Caenorhabditis elegans: one gene and its partners. The protein of the gene in region 4 binds, or shares a complex with, the protein of the main gene of each other region. Each region holds a gene or a part of one and is shown on either strand. Other genes may lie near its edges. The genes, in order: let-49, dpy-22, cdk-8 and mdt-1.2.

The links.
Region 1: mdt-1.2 (region 4) and let-49 share a complex: the UniProt entries of both Caenorhabditis elegans proteins name them as parts of the mediator complex.
Region 2: mdt-1.2 (region 4) and dpy-22 share a complex: the UniProt entries of both Caenorhabditis elegans proteins name them as parts of the mediator complex.
Region 3: mdt-1.2 (region 4) and cdk-8 share a complex: the UniProt entries of both Caenorhabditis elegans proteins name them as parts of the mediator complex.

The regions. Positions count from the first base shown.
Region 1 is NC_003279.8:14,818,841-14,822,175, forward strand, and holds let-49 (Mediator of RNA polymerase II transcription subunit 7), read left to right. Parts: upstream 1-1,571; 5' UTR 1,572-1,583; coding exon 1,584-1,674; intron 1,675-1,796; coding exon 1,797-1,884; intron 1,885-2,008; coding exon 2,009-2,228; intron 2,229-2,282; coding exon 2,283-2,353; intron 2,354-2,409; coding exon 2,410-2,701; 3' UTR 2,702-2,811; downstream 2,812-3,335. Other genes in the region: Y54E5B.2 (WD_REPEATS_REGION domain-containing protein), read right to left, coding at 224-556, 686-792, 862-988, 1,037-1,134, 1,188-1,382; ubc-16 (Ubiquitin-conjugating enzyme E2 W), read left to right, coding at 3,229-3,335. UniProt on the Caenorhabditis elegans protein: Component of the Mediator complex, a coactivator involved in the regulated transcription of nearly all RNA polymerase II-dependent genes.
Region 2 is NC_003284.9:9,819,228-9,823,931, reverse strand, and holds the start of dpy-22 (Mediator of RNA polymerase II transcription subunit 12), read left to right. Parts: upstream 1-1,658; 5' UTR 1,659-1,761; coding exon 1,762-1,869; intron 1,870-2,041; coding exon 2,042-2,149; intron 2,150-2,198; coding exon 2,199-2,422; intron 2,423-2,507; coding exon 2,508-2,751; intron 2,752-2,796; coding exon 2,797-2,894; intron 2,895-2,960; coding exon 2,961-3,137; intron 3,138-3,181; coding exon 3,182-4,704. UniProt on the Caenorhabditis elegans protein: Component of the Mediator complex, a coactivator involved in regulated gene transcription of nearly all RNA polymerase II-dependent genes.
Region 3 is NC_003279.8:8,700,734-8,706,367, forward strand, and holds cdk-8 (Cyclin-dependent kinase 8), read left to right. Parts: upstream 1-1,732; 5' UTR 1,733-1,828; coding exon 1,829-1,833; intron 1,834-1,882; coding exon 1,883-2,122; intron 2,123-2,246; coding exon 2,247-2,434; intron 2,435-2,485; coding exon 2,486-2,582; intron 2,583-2,631; coding exon 2,632-2,767; intron 2,768-2,813; coding exon 2,814-2,935; intron 2,936-2,985; coding exon 2,986-3,084; intron 3,085-3,465; coding exon 3,466-3,625; intron 3,626-3,673; coding exon 3,674-3,757; intron 3,758-3,811; coding exon 3,812-4,027; intron 4,028-4,075; coding exon 4,076-4,171; intron 4,172-4,621; coding exon 4,622-4,945; 3' UTR 4,946-5,092; downstream 5,093-5,634. Other genes in the region: tlf-1 (TATA box-binding protein-like 1), read right to left, coding at 26-141, 608-689, 794-904, 984-1,110, 1,187-1,224; cle-1 (Fibronectin type-III domain-containing protein), read right to left, coding at 5,253-5,321, 5,433-5,536, 5,586-5,634. UniProt on the Caenorhabditis elegans protein: Component of the Mediator complex, a coactivator involved in regulated gene transcription of nearly all RNA polymerase II-dependent genes.
Region 4 is NC_003284.9:17,149,859-17,155,180, forward strand, and holds mdt-1.2 (Mediator of RNA polymerase II transcription subunit 1.2), read left to right. Parts: upstream 1-1,663; 5' UTR 1,664-1,664; coding exon 1,665-1,835; intron 1,836-1,897; coding exon 1,898-2,031; intron 2,032-2,735; coding exon 2,736-2,963; intron 2,964-3,027; coding exon 3,028-3,132; intron 3,133-3,175; coding exon 3,176-3,364; intron 3,365-3,411; coding exon 3,412-3,721; intron 3,722-4,010; coding exon 4,011-4,188; intron 4,189-4,234; coding exon 4,235-4,346; intron 4,347-4,473; coding exon 4,474-4,615; 3' UTR 4,616-4,789; downstream 4,790-5,322. Other genes in the region: T23C6.4 (Caprin-1_dimer domain-containing protein), read right to left, coding at 1-59. UniProt on the Caenorhabditis elegans protein: Component of the Mediator complex, a coactivator involved in the regulated transcription of nearly all RNA polymerase II-dependent genes.

The DNA of each region.
Region 1 (3,335 bases), on a different chromosome or scaffold from region 4:
GTTCAAATTTCCAAGTCGCCGAATTTTAGACCATTGAATAATTTTAGGCCTTCACAGGAATTTAGGCTTTCTGAAGAATTTGTGCAAAATGGTATAAAAATGCAAACTTGGAATTAAATAGTATCTCATTATGCATTTTTTGGATTTTCCAAAAAATAAAGTCCAATATTAAATTTCGTGTTTGGAGGTTTTTTAAAGTAATTTTAGTCAAAAAAAAACTCACTTATCTGCCGTTAAAATCACTAATTTCCCATTTAAATTCGCAAAATTCATCAAATCATCTTTCAAAATTACAATTTTCGATTTCAATGATTGCTGTTCCACGTGAATTTCCAAAAGATCTCCATTTTGAGAGCTGATCGCCAGTGTACTATCGTCTATTTTACTGATTTTCTGAATAACACCAATTGGAATTGCAATCTTTTGCCGCAAATCAATCGAACGTTCATCATATTTCCAGCAGAACAGTGTTTGTTCGATACCGCCCGTGTAGATTCTATAATTGATTGGATCCACGCAAATGGCGAATGGACGGGCTGTATGACCGAATACTGTGCTAAAAATGGAGAATTGTGTCGATTTACGCAGCAGTTCTCATGTACTCCTCGTGAAGAAGATTTTTTTTTGAATTGTTTTAGTTGAAATCGATAAATTTAAAGTTAAAAATAAGTATTAGAAAACCAACCAAAGCGGACCACTTTCTCTGTCATCAATTGGCCACATTCGAATTGTTCGATCATCAGAAATTGTGAAAATACGTGTGGAATCCGTTACAATTGAAAAGATCATTCCCTAAAAATTGGAATAGTATAATTCTTTTTTCGGCCAACAACAAAGCTATTTCCAAGTCAAAAATCGAACTTTATGTCCTTTTCTCATAATTGGCTTCTCGTCTTCGTGTGGCTTCCAATCAATTAATTCTCCGATAACACTTCCAAAATACACGTGACAAGATTCTGCACTATTTCCGATGATTAGAGAGCAAATTCTGGAAAATTAGGAAATTGTTCCAGTATTATTTTACTAATTTACGCACGATGTGGCAAAGTAATCGCATTGAATTTTCGATAAAACGCTCAGATTTGAAGATATGCGAATTGTGAGCGAATTCCTCGATGTTACGGTGATTATTTTCTGAAAAATTGGAAAGTTGTTTGAAGTCGGCGATTTTGAGAGTAACCTTTTACCTTTTCTTTTTTGAACAACTTGCAGCCAATGATATGCTCAGGAAACTCCTCAATTATTTGGTTTTCAGCACATTTTGAGTATTTTTCATCAAATTTTGCACATGTGATGATTTTCCCGCTTAGCAGATGTTTTTCAGCTATTTTTGATTGAATAAGGTGGTCGAGAAGACATGGATTATCTTCTAATTCGTCCATTGAACTGAAAACAATTCGTTTAAGAACAAAAATAAATAGAAAAAAGAAAAAAGAAAAAAAAACAAATTTTCAAAAATAATGCAACTGCGCTCCTCCGTACTCTCACGTTTTTCATTTTTCTTTCTTTTATTATTATACTTCCCTTCCTTTTCAGCTCTGTTTTCATCGTTTTCAACTCATTTTTTTCAGTTTTCATTTAAAATGCTTCCTGGTTTTGGTGCACAAACAGTCAGCCCGTTCCCAAATCCTCCAGAGTACGCATCGGCGTATACAAGTGATCGAATCAATAATGGTAAGGAGTTTGAATTTTGAAATTTTGAAACTAGCAGTTTTTAATTCAGCAAACAGTATTTTTTTTTGTTAGAAATAAAACGCAATTTCTCTAACAGATTTCTCATACATCACTTTAACAAGATTCAGGTTCGGCACCACCTCCGCCGCATCCACTTACGGAATTCAAGGTGTACGGAGAGGAATATCGATTGGAAGATGATGTCATCGCGTAAGAAATTTTAGCGGCTATATAAAAACCAAAAACATGCTGAGTCTAGCCGAATTTTCCCACCTATTTTGCAAAAACCTTTTTCAATACGCGGGAAAAACTAGAATAAAACATTCATTTACAGCCCTCTGAAAAACGCCGGTGTTGCTGAGCTCTACAAGAACAAAAATAATTGGAAAACCGAGATGAAGAAGTTGAACAGGTCCGCCATAGTCGCATTTTTCGATTTGGTCGAAATTCTGATTCGCGCTCCCGATCACCCAATGAGAGAGGAGAAAATGGTCGATTTACACACGATATTCATTAATATGCATCATTTGATCAATGAATTCCGGCCAGTTCAGGTAGAAAAGTGTTTTAAAAATGAAATAAAATCTATATTTTTCTATGTTTTTCAGGCTCGCGACAGTGTTCGAATTTTACAAGAGAGACAAATCGAAGAATTATCGGATATTTGCAAGGATTTTAAGTTAGTCAAATCGGAATTAAGTTTTAAATTTGTATATTTTTTCTCCTTTTTTCCAGAAAATATCTGCGTGATGGTCGAGAAGTTGTCGATGACCAATTCCAAATGATCCGTGGGAAGCTTCCAGCTCCACCTCAACCTTCGGAACTGACACGTGTCAAACTGCAAGACGGAGTGCTTCATATGCTTCAGGAGACAGAAGCTTCAGATGACGTGGAAATGAAAGAGGAAGAAGGATCGGAATATAGTAAAAAGAAAGCGAGGCTGGAACTATTATCAAGAGAAGATGGACCACCGAGTGTTGTACACTTGTTAGCAAGACAGTTTCATGATATCTCACTGAAGAAATAATTAAATAATTTCATTTTAATTTATTTTACCGGGTTTTCGAACTATGATTTTGACTCTGATGATCTTCTGAAATGCTGTAATTAAAATTTCGTTTAAAAATAACTTTTTTCAATCGTTTTTTCATCTTTGTTCTGTTGAAAATGCGTCAATTCGCATTCTTTATTTCGAATTATTTTTTATACTTTTTAGGCAGCTTTCGTGTGACATAAACAATTATCTTCAGGGAATACGTTTCATTTCGAAAAACAGTGTTTTTTCTTCAAAAAATTAAAAACCTGAAAATGAGAAAACTAAAATTTTCGGTTTTTTTATTTTAGAGGAAAACGCCAATTAAAAGCGCAAAGTCGTACGTAGCTTTTTCGATTTTATTCTTTCTATAATTGGAAATTATGAGCAGAAATTATTGATTAAAAATCAATAATTTAAGCCAAAAAAACTGTAAAATTCTCTTCTCCTCGAGAAGTATACGAATTCTGCGTGAATCAACACATAATACCCCTAATTTCAGACGCCTCCACTCATCAGGAATGTCAGATGCTGCGACAAGACGACTGATGAAAGAGCTGGCTCAACTGAAAAGTGAGGCTCCAGAAGGGCTTTTAGTGGATAATACATCAACAAGTAACGATTTGAA
Region 2 (4,704 bases), 7.3 Mb from region 4:
TCATTGTATTGTTGACTACTTTTTCAACTTTATTTCTTTATCGTCTTAAATTTTTAAAGAACCAGTGTTCCATTTTTTCATTTCCTCATATTTTTCTTCTACTTCTCAATTGTCTTCAAGCAATTCCTGATCATTTTTATTTTGTTTCGTGTTTTTGATTATAAATTATTTATATACAAACACACAATTTTCAAACAATTGTGATGCGTGATAACATCGCTGAATTGTATTTTTGAAATTATAAAAGAAACGCGGAATACAAGACCTAATTACTAGAATTTACTGAATTTAAATAAACACTTTTTAGTGATTTATTTCGTTTTGAAAATTTTCCGCGATCCTGATTTGAAGAATTATAACAATTTCAATCAATTCTAATTTTTATTTTCAATATTTTGTTCAAAGTTCAAAACGATATTGTGGAGTTGTAAAAAAAATTAAAATATATATTCAAATATGCATTACATTGAAACATCAATCGGGGGATTTGCCCTATGACATTCTGAAATGAAGAAACTTAGAGTTTTTTTCTTCCGTTTTCATATAATTTTATCTGACATATGACATTTTCTCTCATCATTTGTCCTTTCTCATAAATTTAAATTTGCGAGAATGTGATTCTAACTGCAGACAATACCCAGATGTTGGAATTTTTTGCGCGTAAGGTCGTTTTTAGCTTAGTTTCAAAAAAACTTCGCTGGTTTTTTGTATAATATCAGTAAACTGCCTGAACATCCGAAACCATATTCTGAAACAACGCGCATTAAAGTTATTAAAATTGCACATATTCAAATAACAAATATTATCAGTTCATGCTGATCTGTAGGTGATATGCATACTACTTGATTTCCTTTTTTTTTTTTGGGTTCACCATCTTGGAATATTAGCTCATTCACAACTCCCAAAAAAGTCTACTTTCTTATCGTTCTGAAAGTTGAAGTTTTAACGTATTTACCATTTCTTACAACAATACAATTTTCCCTGCAATTAAACAAACGACTTATGAGTGGACCATTTTGAGAAAATAGCGAGACAGTTCCGATCGATGGGTCTGTGTGCCTTGCTGTGCAGCACTCTCCATCTCTGCGTCTCTCTCTTCCATCAGTGTATTTCTTGCTGTGTTCTGTGTTCTCAGGGGCCAATTCTCTATTTCTTTCCAACTGCCTGCTACTCGCCGTTTGTGCGTTTCTTCCTCGCTTCTCTGCGTCTTTTTTACAGCCATCTTTGAATGTCATCATCCGTACTGGGGTTGATGTGTTTCTTTACAATCGATGAAAGGTGCTTTATGAATACATCTCTGTCCACATGTTGAGTTTAATTTTTCACTTTTTTTAAAAGCTCACATTGTGTTTTTTTAACTAATTGGGAACCCACAAAATTTTGAATATTGGATTTTGAACACAATTTTAGAGTTGGAAAAGTGAACTAGACATGAATGATGATATTCCAAAAAAAAAACTTTTTAATACTTATTTTTTTCACAATATTTTCTAAATAAATAGAACCCACTTTCCTTTAAATTCTTATTCGTTCCTCCTTTCATTTTTCTGTCAGTTTTTATGTTGTTATCACTTAAAAACGTCGCCTGATTGTATTTTTTCTTTTTCTTAACATATTATCTTCAAAATTTGGGAAGTTATTGCAAATAAAAAAATTTTAGCAATCATTTCGTACCCATCGACGTCAGTGGTAGACGACGAGGACGACGTCTACCCCGAGGATGGCGTCGCCTCGTGGTTTGACGAGCAGCCCGGCGAACGTATGCTCCGGAAAACCAACCTTCGAATGGGAACTGCTGATGTGTATAAACAAAACAAGAATCAAGAAGAGGATATGTTGACAACGGAACGATTAAAGAAAGGATATCAGGTGAGTGTCGTGCCAGGGCGAGGAAAAAGATGCTCAAACAGAGTGCAATGTAACTATGGAGGTACTAGGGGATGATTAGCTTGGTGTGTGGCTAGATGTTTGATGAGCGTAAAAAGAAACAGAGAAAGCACACGTGAGGATATGAATTATACAACCCGAGTTTTGATTTTAGATGCCATTAACGCAATACGAGCTTCAATCATTGGTTTTCAACGCATCGGAAAATAAGCTAATTCGTCTGGAGAAAGCTCAAAAACGATCTCAGTCTATGATTGCTTCTGTGAGTCATTTTCAACAATTATATAAGTGAGTAAATATGTTAATTTCAGGTTATTCACAAAAAAGGAGAGTTCCACATGAATTATGACAGAGAACGTAAAATTCCAAAGGAACAACTTCCGTGTTTTGCACCACATAACTGGAAACGAATTTTGTCAGATCGAGTGAAATTCTTTTCGGCATTAGCTAGAGGAACTCCTCTTCAACAACTTTCACAAAGAATCCCTGGATTTAGAAGGAAAGAACTGCTCTTTTTGGAGTTTAGCGATTATAAGTGAGTTGTTTTTAAAATTCACAATTAAAACAAATGTGAATTATACTGTGCTAACTGAAGAATGTTCTAAAGTTGCCTATTTCAGCATAAGCTACGATCGGGCAATATGGTGTGTGAAACTTCTTTGTATCCTTGGTTTCAACTCTTCAAGCAAGACACAAAAGAAAACATTACTTGACGTTGCAACTCTAGAACTGAGCCAAGCATGCAACAAAACAACAATTTGGCTCGTAACCCAGCTTTACAAATCTTTTCGAAATCCCATAAAACGAAGAGAGGCTACTAAAACATGGAATTATTTGACTGGATTCATGAAGTATATGTTTGATGTAAGAGTTTTATTTTTAACAGAAATTTTATTAGTTTTGTTATAGGATGGTGTCCTTGATAAACAGGAGTTTCTCAACGATCTCACGGAAGTTTTCAATCAGTTGTTTTTGCAGAAAAACTTTAAGAACCCTTCAGTTTTAAGGTAAGCACTGCAAACTTTTCCAAATTAGATAACCCATGAACTGATATTGTATTAATAACATTTCAGCACATTCATGAAATATTATGTGTATTTTGTCGAAGATCTCAGCTCCAGTCTGGTGTTAGCTAGACGGTCCTCCACTCTGCTTTGCCAAGCACTTGGTTTTCTATTCGAAATGGCACAGGATAAAAGGAAAATTGATGCGTACTACGATTCTGCTAATAAAACTTTCATTAAGAAAGAGTAAGACTTAAATTTATGAGAGTTACAAAAAATCAAAAATTCAGATTTGAAAATGAAGATGGCGAAATTTACGAGTTTGAAGATTACGATGACTTCATTGATATGTTGGACGAGATTCCTGATGTACCCTACTTTGATGAGACTGACAAAACACCAGAAGCACAAGCTGAAGAACTTATCAAGCAGCATGAAAAACGAAAGGCAGGCTCACTCAAAAAGTCTGAAAGGAGGAGAAGAAGAGGATTGTCAAAAAATCGGCCAAAAAAAATGCCACAGAATCCTTCGAATGAAGCTTCTCTTGATCACGATAAAGTACAGATTAAACAAGAACCGATGGACTATGATGAGTATGGAGGTCAACAATCAGACAATTCTATGGATTATGACTCTTTCTCACATCAATATGATCCATCATATGAGCCTTTACCTTTCAAGCCACTTCACACAGATATTCCAAAAAAACTCACTGACGATGAGGAGTTCAAGTACATGAAGATAGGCAAGAGATCTGTCACTCCTGAACGTATTAGTGGTCGCTATGGTTCAATGACGTATCCTTTCTGGATTCAGCAGGGCGGAGTTGGAATTGATCCACCAAAAGATGAAGTACTGGATTTCTCCAATCCAACACCAACGGAAACTGTCAACACGCAGCCACAAATTGATTTTGAATCATCTCCCAGCGCTTCGCCAGCTCTTTCTGTCGATAAAGAAAATGAATGTGAAAAGAAAGAAGATGAATCTAAAACTAAGGAGAAGAACAAAGATAAGGAGAAAGACAAGGAAAAAGAAAAATCTGTTGATGAGCATACGAATGATCTGGATGTTCCGATAAATCCTGACGATGCTGAAATGGCTGATGCAAATGATAAAACCGATGCTTCTGAAAAACAAAAATTAGTTGAAGAAGAACCTACCGGCAAAGAAAATGAAGATGATACCAGTTCAAAAACGGCAAAGACGTCTACATCAGCAGAGAAATCCGAAGCTCCCTCCATTGTCGATTCTAATGACAAAATTGATAAGGAGCCAAATGCAAGTTCAACAAGTAACGATGAAACTTCTAAAGATGACACAGTTCCCATGGAATCAGATCCACCAGCTGCCACTGAAAAACCAAAAGAATCCACTGAAATTACCACCGAGGAACCACTGGAAGTCGACAAAGCGCCTGAAGTTGATAAGTCTGAGAAAGAACACGAAGATGATATTATGATCATTGAGTCCAACAAAAAAGCAGACGAGGATGACTGTGTTGTTATAGCTGTGGTGGATCCTGATCAGGAACAAACTCCGGAAAGTGAGAAGAAAAAAGATGGCGAAGAAGAAAGGGACAAAAACAAGGATACAGATGTGGCGGATAACGAACCCGAGAAAATTTATACCGACGAGGAACTCGCTGAAATCAAAATCCGCAAAGAGAAGGAAATGAAAATTGCAACTTTGGCTTCCCATATCAAAGAGAAAATGGTGTCAGACAAAAAATGGAAAGAGAAAACTAGCCACGCAGGATGGAGAACACTTGATCAATGCAGTCAGTTCAGTGAAGCGCTTCATTTGCTCTCAA
Region 3 (5,634 bases), on a different chromosome or scaffold from region 4:
AGTAAATGATAATCATGAAACATACCTGTTGTTGTTGTCGATGTTGTGCTTGCGCATAGCTTATCTGTTGTTGTCCTTGCTGATTTTGTGCCATAAATACAGCTCGATTTTGTTGTTGAATTTGATTTGCTACTTGCTGTCCTGGAATTAAATTTAAAACTCTTTTCAGTTTTTCAAACAAGAATGTCTTATACAACACGTAATGTGAGACCCAACACACGAGTTTGAAATTTTCCAGAATTATTTTGATTGTTTTCGATTTTTTTTTGTTTGCAAAAACAGTGAAAATTTAATCAATATTTAATTTTTCCTTTTGGAAAATATGTGAAACTTCAATCGTTCAAAAATCAGAAATCGAGTTATTCGAAATGTAAATGTAGAGTTAATTTGTGTCTAGAATATTATTCCAATAAAACAATTAATTATTGCAGAAACATATACGCGATTCTAGATATACGTAGTACTTGTATTCTATTGATAAAACACACGGCATCCGGAGACCGTAAATAAATTGAAATAAAACCGATTTAAAAAAAAAAATATTTTGTTTTGAATAACATCAATTAAATATTGACTATCAATTTTCTAAATAAAATTAAAAACTTACTCTGATAACCTTGTTGAACGTTATGTCCTTGCACAGGTCGCATTTGAACACCAACTGCAACATTTCGACCCGCTATCGTTCCCTGCAATTTCTTTTGAAAAATTAAAATAGTTTCGTGAATTTGAAATTTTGTTTCAATTCTTAGAATTTGTTATGTTGATTGAGAAACTGATAATAAAGACTTACTGGATGTCCAAAGTTTACTTGCATTGGTTGACCACCAGGAACTTGGCGAACATAGGCAGGACCGACACCATTTTGCTGAATCTGACGTACTCCCGGGGGTAGTTGAACTATCTGAAATAAACTTTAATTCATAAATTCAAGCATATGTCTTGTCTCGAACAAAATTTGATTATATTCTTCAAAATCTCACCCTCTGCTGTCCGTTTCCGTCGTGATGAACCGTTCGAATTCCTGCCGTTTGCACATACGTGGCATTTTGTGATACTGCACCACCAGCTTGTGCAGGCATCACTTTTTGAACGTAAGTTCTGTAATATCTTTCGAGTGTTGTTATTGGATTTCTTGATCCAAATAACTAAAACTGAACAAGCTATTTTTTAATTCAACTCATACCTCTGGTTTCCCATCATTTGATGATCACCCATTTGCATTTGAACTGATCGGCCTGTAAATTTGAGTTGTTATCTTTTGAAAACTCGACAAATGCTAAAATCTGCAACAACGAGAGAGCGAGACTTCGTGAGAACATAAGAATTTTTTGATTTATGTTAGAAAATTCTGGAAAAGTTAAGAAATATTTATTTCCGACGACCAGTTTATTTTAAATTCAGACAAAATAATATCCAAAATACAATATTCGGTTTGTTCATTCTAAACTGATTTGAGGCAAACGCGGTTACAGGATCGATTGAAAGCGTTATTCGCTGCCAAACCAGAGTATCCTCTCTGAATGTGCATTCCTCCTAGTTATTTGTCTGTTAGACATGTGGCATTTATTGATTAGTTAATTTATTGATTTTTCAGTCTTAACGCTGTGTTCTTTGGGAAGAAGAAGTGACGTTCGGCGAGAATTTGCCACAAGAAAAAGTGCTAGAAAACGAAGACCGACGAAGATGTCGTGATATTTGGTGTTTAGTACGTGGGTGCAGTGTTTGCGGACTTCCTTACCGTACACTTCAATTTTAATTTTCGTTTTTCTGGACATCGATTTTCCTGGCATAAAGACTGAGTAGTATTCGCTGTAGTAACTGAAAAATGACGTAAGTTGGAAATTTGCACTATAAATAAATCAGAAAATCCCTATTGCAGATTAATGATTGATGAAAACTTCAAAAAACAATTGGCACAGCGTCGAGAGAGAGTAGAAGACCTTTTCTACTTTGAAAATTCAAAAGAAATCGGCAGAGGAACATATGGATTAGTTTATAAAGCAGTTCCGAAAAAGCAAAATGGACAATTTCCTAACAAAGAATACGCATTAAAAATGATTGAGGGACAAGGATTTTCAATGTCTGCATGCAGAGAAATTGCTCTATTCAGAGAATTAAGGTAATTTCACCGATTAAATAATATTAATTTAAAATGAAGATTGAATTCGAGATTTTCCCCTTTTTATAATCTAAAATTCGAAAAAAAAACTGAAGTAGATATTCAAAAAAAAAAAATGTTTCAGGCATCCGAATTTAATCTGTCTTCAACGTGTATTTCTTACCAACGAAAAAAAAGTCTGGCTTTTATTGGATTATGCTGAACACGATCTCTGGCACGTTATCAAACATCATCGAACAGCTAAAAGCAAGAAAGTCCCAATTATGGTGCCACGGAATATGGTCAAAAATATATTGTTTCAAATTTTATCAGGTTTGAAATTCTAAAATCCAATTTCACTCAACTGTATTTTAAAATATTCAGGAATGCATTATTTACATTCAAACTGGGTACTACATCGAGATCTCAAACCAGCAAATATTCTATTAATGGGTGATGGACCACCTGACATGAGAGGAAGGTTTGACTGAATTTGAAATTTATGCGATAATATGAAATAATAATTCTAGGGTAAAAATTGCTGATTTGGGATTTTCAAGAATCTATGCAAATCCTCTGAAACCGATGGCTGAATTAGATCCAGTAGTTGTCACATTCTGGTACAGAGCACCTGAATTGCTTCTCGGAGCAAAGCATTATACAAAGGTACGTTGAAAAATCTATTTAATAAGGAAAAAATGCATAATCTCAGGCTATTGACGTATGGGCTATCGGATGCATTTTTGCCGAACTTCTTACCGCTGAACCATTATTTTTCTGTAAAGAGGAAGACATCAAGGCACAAAATCCATATCACTATGATCAAGTGAAAAGGTACAGATTTTTTGGAAATTAAAATCATTAACTATTCGAAATTTTTAAAGAATATTCCATCTACTCGGATACCCATCAGATGCTGATTGGCCTGATATGAAGAAAATGCCGGATCATCAAAGACTTCTAAGCGATGCTAGAAATGAAGGGTAAATTATAATATAAAAGTTTTCAAATTTATTTTGATAGATTACTTAAAGGCACATTATTTTTTTCAGTAGCGTGAATGGCTTCAATGAAACCGAATTAGTCTCAAATTAGGAAATACCACAAAAAAAGGAAAAAAAAATCGCGAAAGAATTAAAAATCCAAGATTAAAAAACGAGTCGCTGATTGGTCGCAGTTCTCATTTAGGTGGCAATTCAAACAATTGAAAATCGCGATTTCAAAAGTTGGTTTTTCATTCTTGCGATTTTTTCCATTTTTTGTGGCATTTCCGAATTTGAGAGAATTTCGGATGTGTGAATTTGTATTGCAATATATAACGGCTTTAAAAAAGTTTTACATAATTATAAATAAACAATTTTCAGAACACCAATTCAAACATTTCCAAACAGCTTGCATCGATACTTTGATAAATGGAAAATCAATTCACAAAGCTCTCCATATAGATTACTTGTCAAATTGCTCACAGTTGACCCTACAAAACGTGTCAGTTGTGAAGAAGCGATGAATGATATTTATTTTAGAGTTCGTTTGAAATTTAATTTGAATAATATTTGAAAAAACCATTTGCAGAAAATGGAAAGACCACCAAGGGAGACTGACGACGTGTTCAATAAATATCCAATTCCATACGCGAAGAAGGAACAGCAGATGACGGTAAGGGCATCAATTGTTGAATACACTGCAAATGTTCCCAAGATTCTTTTACAGGTTGCACCAGATCAAGCACAACAACAGCATCAACAACAACAAGTTCAAATGCAACAACAACCACAAATGGGACAGCAACAAATGATGGGACAACCTCAAATGGTACAACCTCAGATGGGACAACCACCAATGGGTGGAGCACATCCCGGAGTTGTTGCTCCAGATGGACATCCACATCAAATGATGCAGCAACAACAGCATCCACAACAGCATCATGTCAGTTTTCTAAATATTCAGAATGAAAAGTTAACTTTTTCTGTTCAGATGCAATATCAAGGAATGCATGATCCAATGCAAGGTGGAATGGATGAAGGACCACAAGCAAAAATGATGAGAATGGGAAATGTTCCTGTTGGAAGAGTAAGCTTTTTAATTAGAAAATAATAATAAAAAACATAACATGGCTGAATATCATAATTAAGGATTTCAAATTTTCAAAGTTTTTGTAAATTTCCAAATTTCGCAAATTTTGATAGATTGATTGTTGAATTTGCAAATTTTTGTAAAATGATTTATAATTTTTTTGTTGGTAAATTGCCAAACTTTCAAAAATTGAAATTTCTTGAAATATTCGTTAATCGTTGCAAAATAGTAGATAGAAACTAATTTTGATAATTTTTGGTTTATTTCCAAATCATGGTAGATGAAGTAATTTTCACTTTTTACTGTAGGTAAAACTATTTTGAAAAATTGTTGAAAAGCGTTACTAGGATATTGGGTCATTTTAAGATCATAGGAGTGATTTTCATCATTTTTCCCTATGGCAATACTCCACTTTTCAAATTCTTATGTTCAATTCTACAATTGCAGTATGCACCGATGCCTCCTCCATACGGTGCTCCACAAGACTATCACCCGCAACAAGGTCCACCAATGGTGCAAATGATGCAACAACCGGGACCATCCGGCTACTATCCACAACGACCAGGACAACCAACAGGAGCAGTTCCTGGACCAGGACCTCAAGGATATATGAATCCACAAATGGGAATGCAAATGGGCATGCGTGCTCCAGGAGTTCCACCACAAGGATATATGCCTGGTCGTGGAATGGCTCCCCCTCAAATGGGACAACAGCAACCCGGTCCAAATCAACAGCAACAACAGCAATGGCAACAACAATATCATCGATAAACATTTCATTTGTAACATGTATGTATCTATAGTACTCACATCAAACTAATATTGCTCGTCATGTGTAATTTGAAGGCTTTGTAAATTGTATTTTTTTGAAATACGTTCACAATAAAATTGAGAAAATACGTGGCAGTTATCAAAATCAAATTCGGAAAGATTTTTTTGGTTTAATTCAAAATAGAAAACAAAGCAAAATGAGTGAATGAAGCCGTTTTTCAGGGGGGGTTCGAGATTTTTTCATCGTAAGGTTGGGGTATAATCATTTAAAACAATTTTAAAATTGAAATTCTATATTGGAAGTCGTTCATTTTTTGAAGTCGGATGTGATTCGATGCAAGCGGAGAATTCGGTCACCGTGATACTTGGACATGTTCTGCAAACATTTTAATTTTAAGATTTTAAAGCTGTTTGGAAATAATATTTCTTTTTCTCTGATGGTCTCACAACGATCGTTTGAACACTTCAATTTAAATAAAAAACGAACCTCAACACACAATACCACTAATTTATTTTCACATTTTTCGGATCCACTTGATTGGAAAATGCTTGTATTCGATGAGATGTGACCTGCCAAAGAAGTCAGAGATGCTGCAATAAATTATATTCTAAAAATTGTCTTCAATTTCTCAAAAATTACAATCGGCTCTTCTCCATCCATCACAGTATTGTTCAGCTCTTATTCCACC
Region 4 (5,322 bases):
TGTGATGATTTGAAGTCGAATGGTTGGTTTTCTGCAGGCTGTTGACTGCTCAGCGACATTTTGTTAGCTTTAAAATTTACAGATTATAAATTCGAAAACAAGTTCGCTCAAGTGTGCAAACATCGAAAATGAAGTGGCCAATTGAAATATGAGAGTGAAGAAAGAATTGGATGAGAGAGAACTTGTAAAATCCAAAAAAAAAAACATTCGACCTAATACCAACCAGTCGAGACGAAGAATGGAAGACGGCGAGACAACGAAACCAGCAGCACAGCCGCCTGCCCGCCCTATAAATTGGACTTGAAACAGAGACGACGACGACGAGGAAACTGGTGGGTCTGGCTGCGCAGTCAATGCACACAACGGCTACACCACCAGAAAATTGAGGGAGAACACAGAGCACCGTTGTGCAATTCCTCGAAGGTCCAACATCTGTTGAGGCGAAAAAAGCGCAACAGTGTTCGAGCACCTGTTCGTCAGATGGTTCAACAAAGAGATGAAAGAACATTGAAAGATTTGTGATACATGCTATATTCGTTTTGGGAAAATTTTAGATCAGCAGATTTTTTGTTGAATTGTGAACGATTTGTGGAAAAATTCTCGAAATTTTTGAAATTTTCAGCAAAAATGTTCATAACGTTGTGAGATTGCATTGGGAATCCCACCGAAACATGGCATGTTGTGAAAATATATAAAGCTTGTTTATAAATTAGATGAAACTTAAAAAAACGGGGAAAATTTGATATTAAGCAACTTGAAATTAAGTTTAAAAAACTGCCAGGAGTCTTTGATGATTGAAAAATACCTAGTAAAAATAATGCATAATCTCACGGTATAAATTTTTTATTTGAAGAAAAATTTTAAAAATTTAAGGGTGTAGAATGACAAAAGTACGACCGTTTGTAAACTTATCAAATTTTGTTTAAGAATATGTATGTATTATACAAAAAGAAGATAAATGTGTGTAAAATCATTTTTTTAAGTGGCAGTATCATTTAGTGATTTTTAAAATGCAAAACCGTTTTCAACACACTTTTAAACTACTTTTTTTGTAATGAAAAAATTATTTTCAAAAGTATTCTCGGCAAAATATCTTAGTCATATTCAAAATGGGCTATCATTGGGAGTGTTTCCATCAAGATGTTTTCACAATTTAGTAACGATTTTCAAGCCCCAATAAAAACAAAAACTATACCGCAAATACTTGTCCAGATTCACATTAGGTCCTAAAAAATATTGTCATTCGCCCTAGGATTGAACTGAAAATATAGAAAAACACTGGCATGGAAAAGCAAAAAAAAATTTTTTTTGACAAGTTCTTCTTCTTCTCGAAATTCCCATACTTATTTTTTTCCATTAGCAATTGTAATTGTTCATCATCGTTTCCATGTTCTATGACACCACTTTTCTAATGTCTTGGCTGTGTCCTTCTCCCCTCCATTGCCCATGTTCCTCTCCCGCTCTCTCAAACACGCATTAGCTAGAGATAAGGTATCCAAGGAGTGTGCAGACAGTGTGCAAACACCATCACGGCATTTTGCGGACTTCCCTTTGAAGACGACATCTTATTTTTTATTTCTTTTTGTTTATATTTATTTTTTATTGTTAACTTTCCTCTCTTATTTGTAAATTTGTATTCAACTCGATTAAATTTCGATTTTAGAATGGTTTCCACTCCATCACCGAAAACGAAAGTTTACCTGTTGGAGCAGCGGAAGAATCAAGAGCTCAACATTGAGCATATTGACGAGGAAATGAGATTGGAACAGGTCCGGCAAGCCGCATCAAAAATGGAATGGACATCATTCGGGCAGGCTGTGAGGCGAAACTTGTTGGTAACTATTTTCTTTAAACTTATTTATTGTGAAAGACAATTTGAAAAATGCATGAATTGCAGGAAAAACGTAACACAATCGATGCTGATGGTAGAATTGACGTGCTCAACGGGATTGCGTACATGAAAACAAAAATGCCAATCGAGGAAAACAATCTGATGGAGGAGAAGATACGGGTTATGGCTGAGAGTCTTGGGTAAGTTTTCAGTTAGAGAAATGGCGTTAAATTTAGAAAACTGCCATAAAAACCTGGCTTTTTTGGAACCTAGAATTTAACTGCTAAAAATGATAGAGCATTTCCTTGCACCTATTTTTCACATGCATCAAAATGTATAATTTTTGAGTGCTCTTAAGGTAGAATTCATTTGCCGATTGAGCATTAATAACTTGGAAATCTATTTTTCGTAGCACCTGTTGCTTCAAGAAAGAAAAAAATCAAAAAGGAGTAGACCCACATATACTTCAAATTTTCTGAAACACTGTCAAGTTTCATGTTTTCTTGAAGAACCAAAATCAGTTCCACATCGGACCCTAGTTTGTAATAAAAATATTGTACTTGTATCCAAGATTGAGACGCAAACCTGTCAAAAACTAGAAGAGTTTACCGACTGCCAATTGCTAGAAAATAATCGCGTACTAAATATACAAAATTAAGAAAGTGAGCACCTACTCAATTTCTCTGAAATCTTTACACATTATTACATTTCACAAATAAATGAAAGTACTGCACAACATTTGTTTCTCGATAGACTAGTTTCCTTTTAAAAAAATTAGAAACCTGGTACGTTGGAGTCCGACAAAACTTATACATATTCCAACGTTATCCACTTGAAATTTGCCTAGCCATAACTTCTAATCGCTCAAAATTTATTAAAATACATAGCTCACTTTTATTTCCAGATGCTTGCACAAACAAACTTCTCGCGGATGGTCCATCAATCGTCAAGAAGATCTCATCATGGACTTTACTGTCAACGATGGTGAAGTGACAACCGTTGTGCTTAGTTTTTGGGAAGAGCCTTCATTCTACTCCCCAGAAGCTACAAGAATGCTCCAGTTAGGGATGTGGACAGAGCTTCGAAACCGAATCTCAGATATGCTGTTGACGTATGATAAGTTGTTGAGCAGGTATGTTGTTTGACTTTGAGCAAAGCAAAAAATAATGCTTCTAGAACTCACTCCCATTTTTCAGAGACGATCGTAGAAACTGCATGGGAGCTATGAGAATGCTCGAGATGCTTTTTGGACACTTCTCTCAAGACCCTTCCTACACTTCAATTCACAGATCCAACTATGGGTAACTTTATAATTATTTTTTTAATGAAAAATTTTAATTTTAGTTTCTACCTTCCACGTAATGATCTCCGCGCAGGGCGTGTATATTATTTGGCGGAACCACACTTTCGGAACATTCGCTCCAAGGATCATATTTTCCAGTTACAAAAGGATGATCACGAAGTTTTGCCATACTTTGAATTTTCGTTTGCCAAGCATGATAGCCCGTGTACACTTCCAGAGTTTGACACAAAGTGAGTTCATTCACATCTTAATATTATTGAAAATTGTAAATTTCCAGAGGCTGGGCAGAATCTATTGAAGCAAACGCTGTGATTTGTATGAAGCTATCCAGAGGGTTCAATCTTACTGAAACGACTAGAAAGAAGTTGGGAGCAATCAGTGCAAAGACTCCATCCGTTAAGCATTTCACAAATAGCTATCGCTACGTGACTGGAGCGGTGAAGATTGAGAACAACCTGCAGATGATTACACAGTTTGGCGATGGACAAACTCAACACTTCTACAATGTCGATGTGAACCAGTTGCGCAATGATGGTGACTCTGTGATCACTGAGATTTATTTGAAGCATTTGCAAGATTTTCATGAGGTAAGCAGTAGTAACATAGATTGTATTTTAAAAGCGCCAGTTTCATGATTCAATTAGCAAAAACATAAACATTTGAGTATCTTTTTTGTTTTGAGAAAATAAGCATACATGCTAATGCATGCTTTACATAATATGGACACACATTTTGCAACTTTCGGTTTTTTGCCACAGGGAATTATTGAACTTTGTGAGTCCGTTCAAATACTAGAAGTAGAAATATTATTTAAGACATCATTAACATATGTAGTCAGATATTCCACTACTCGATAAAAATAAATTATAATTGCAGATAATTGCAATTCTTCGCAACGAAGCCATGCATATCAGCCTTTGGGAGTCGATGATATCCGCGTGTTATGAGAAGCAGGGTATGAAAAAGCACACGGTTGCCGCAATCAAGATGGACGTTTTTCTGACAAGAGAGCAAATTGTAATCACCTTTGATACAAAATTTGCGCCGGTCAAAGGTGAGTTCTAGATAGATAAAGTGTTTAATATTAAGTAAATTTGCAGTTGTAATCCAGGATAGTGGAGTTTGTGAGGCAAAGGTGAATGTTGTGCATGCACAGACAGGCCTCCAGATTGCTGAAAAGATTGATGAAACATTGAGCAGAAAACTCAATGAGTAAGTTGAAACCGTACACTAACGCAAACGCAGGACTTGTTGCAAAGTTCCTGAGAATGTCAATAGCAGTTTTGGTGCCAACTCTTTGTCCATAGAACATCCTAGAGAAAACATTTGAAAATTTCAGAACTTGGAGCATTCCAAATATGCTTACCTACGCCGTGTCGGGTAGTGACTGCAACTTGGCAAAGATCAAAGTTCCGTTGAGAAGTGAAAACCCGGAGACTGTGGGCCCAATTCCAACTTATGCGGCTGGACGTTCCTTCTAACGGATTTTTGACTTATGATGTGTTTGTATAGTTTTTGTTTTATTATATACTTGAGCCTTATTTGATACTCATTTTGATTGTTGTGAATGTTTGAAATTAAGTTTTATATGCATTTGTATTATTTAAAATTTGCCATCTGAATTTTTCAAAGAGCTGAAAAGCAGAAAAAAATGATTAGAGGTTTTTTGCATGAATACTGAAAGTTGATTACTTAGGGTCAAAAATATCTTTAATAGTCAAACTGGGCAATATTTTCTTTAATTATGTCAATTGTAAGCTTGCTGAAAATATATAAAAGTAGCTCTAGTTGCCCAAAGACCTCGAAAGTTTACCCAAACAACTAAATTTCATAATGAGACTTTTCAAAGTTTTTAAAATATTTTACATTGCAGTTCAAAATTTCAAAAAAAAACTGTTCAATTCAGCTAAAATCTTCAATATTTATGTTTGTATGTGGCACATGGCCGGAAATCAATGTTCATTTAATGATCATTGAAATTTTGACCTTTCTTAAAAAGTTTTAAAACATTTTTGAGAAATCCGATTGCATAATTTTGTAATTTGGGATTAATATAATTTACAAACTCTGTTTAAGCATGAAAACCCAAAAAATTGATTTTTTGACAAATTCATTATTGACAGAAACTATATCCATAATTACGTATATGTTACAAATTTGACAGGAGACTGTTGTGGAAAGAAACGGT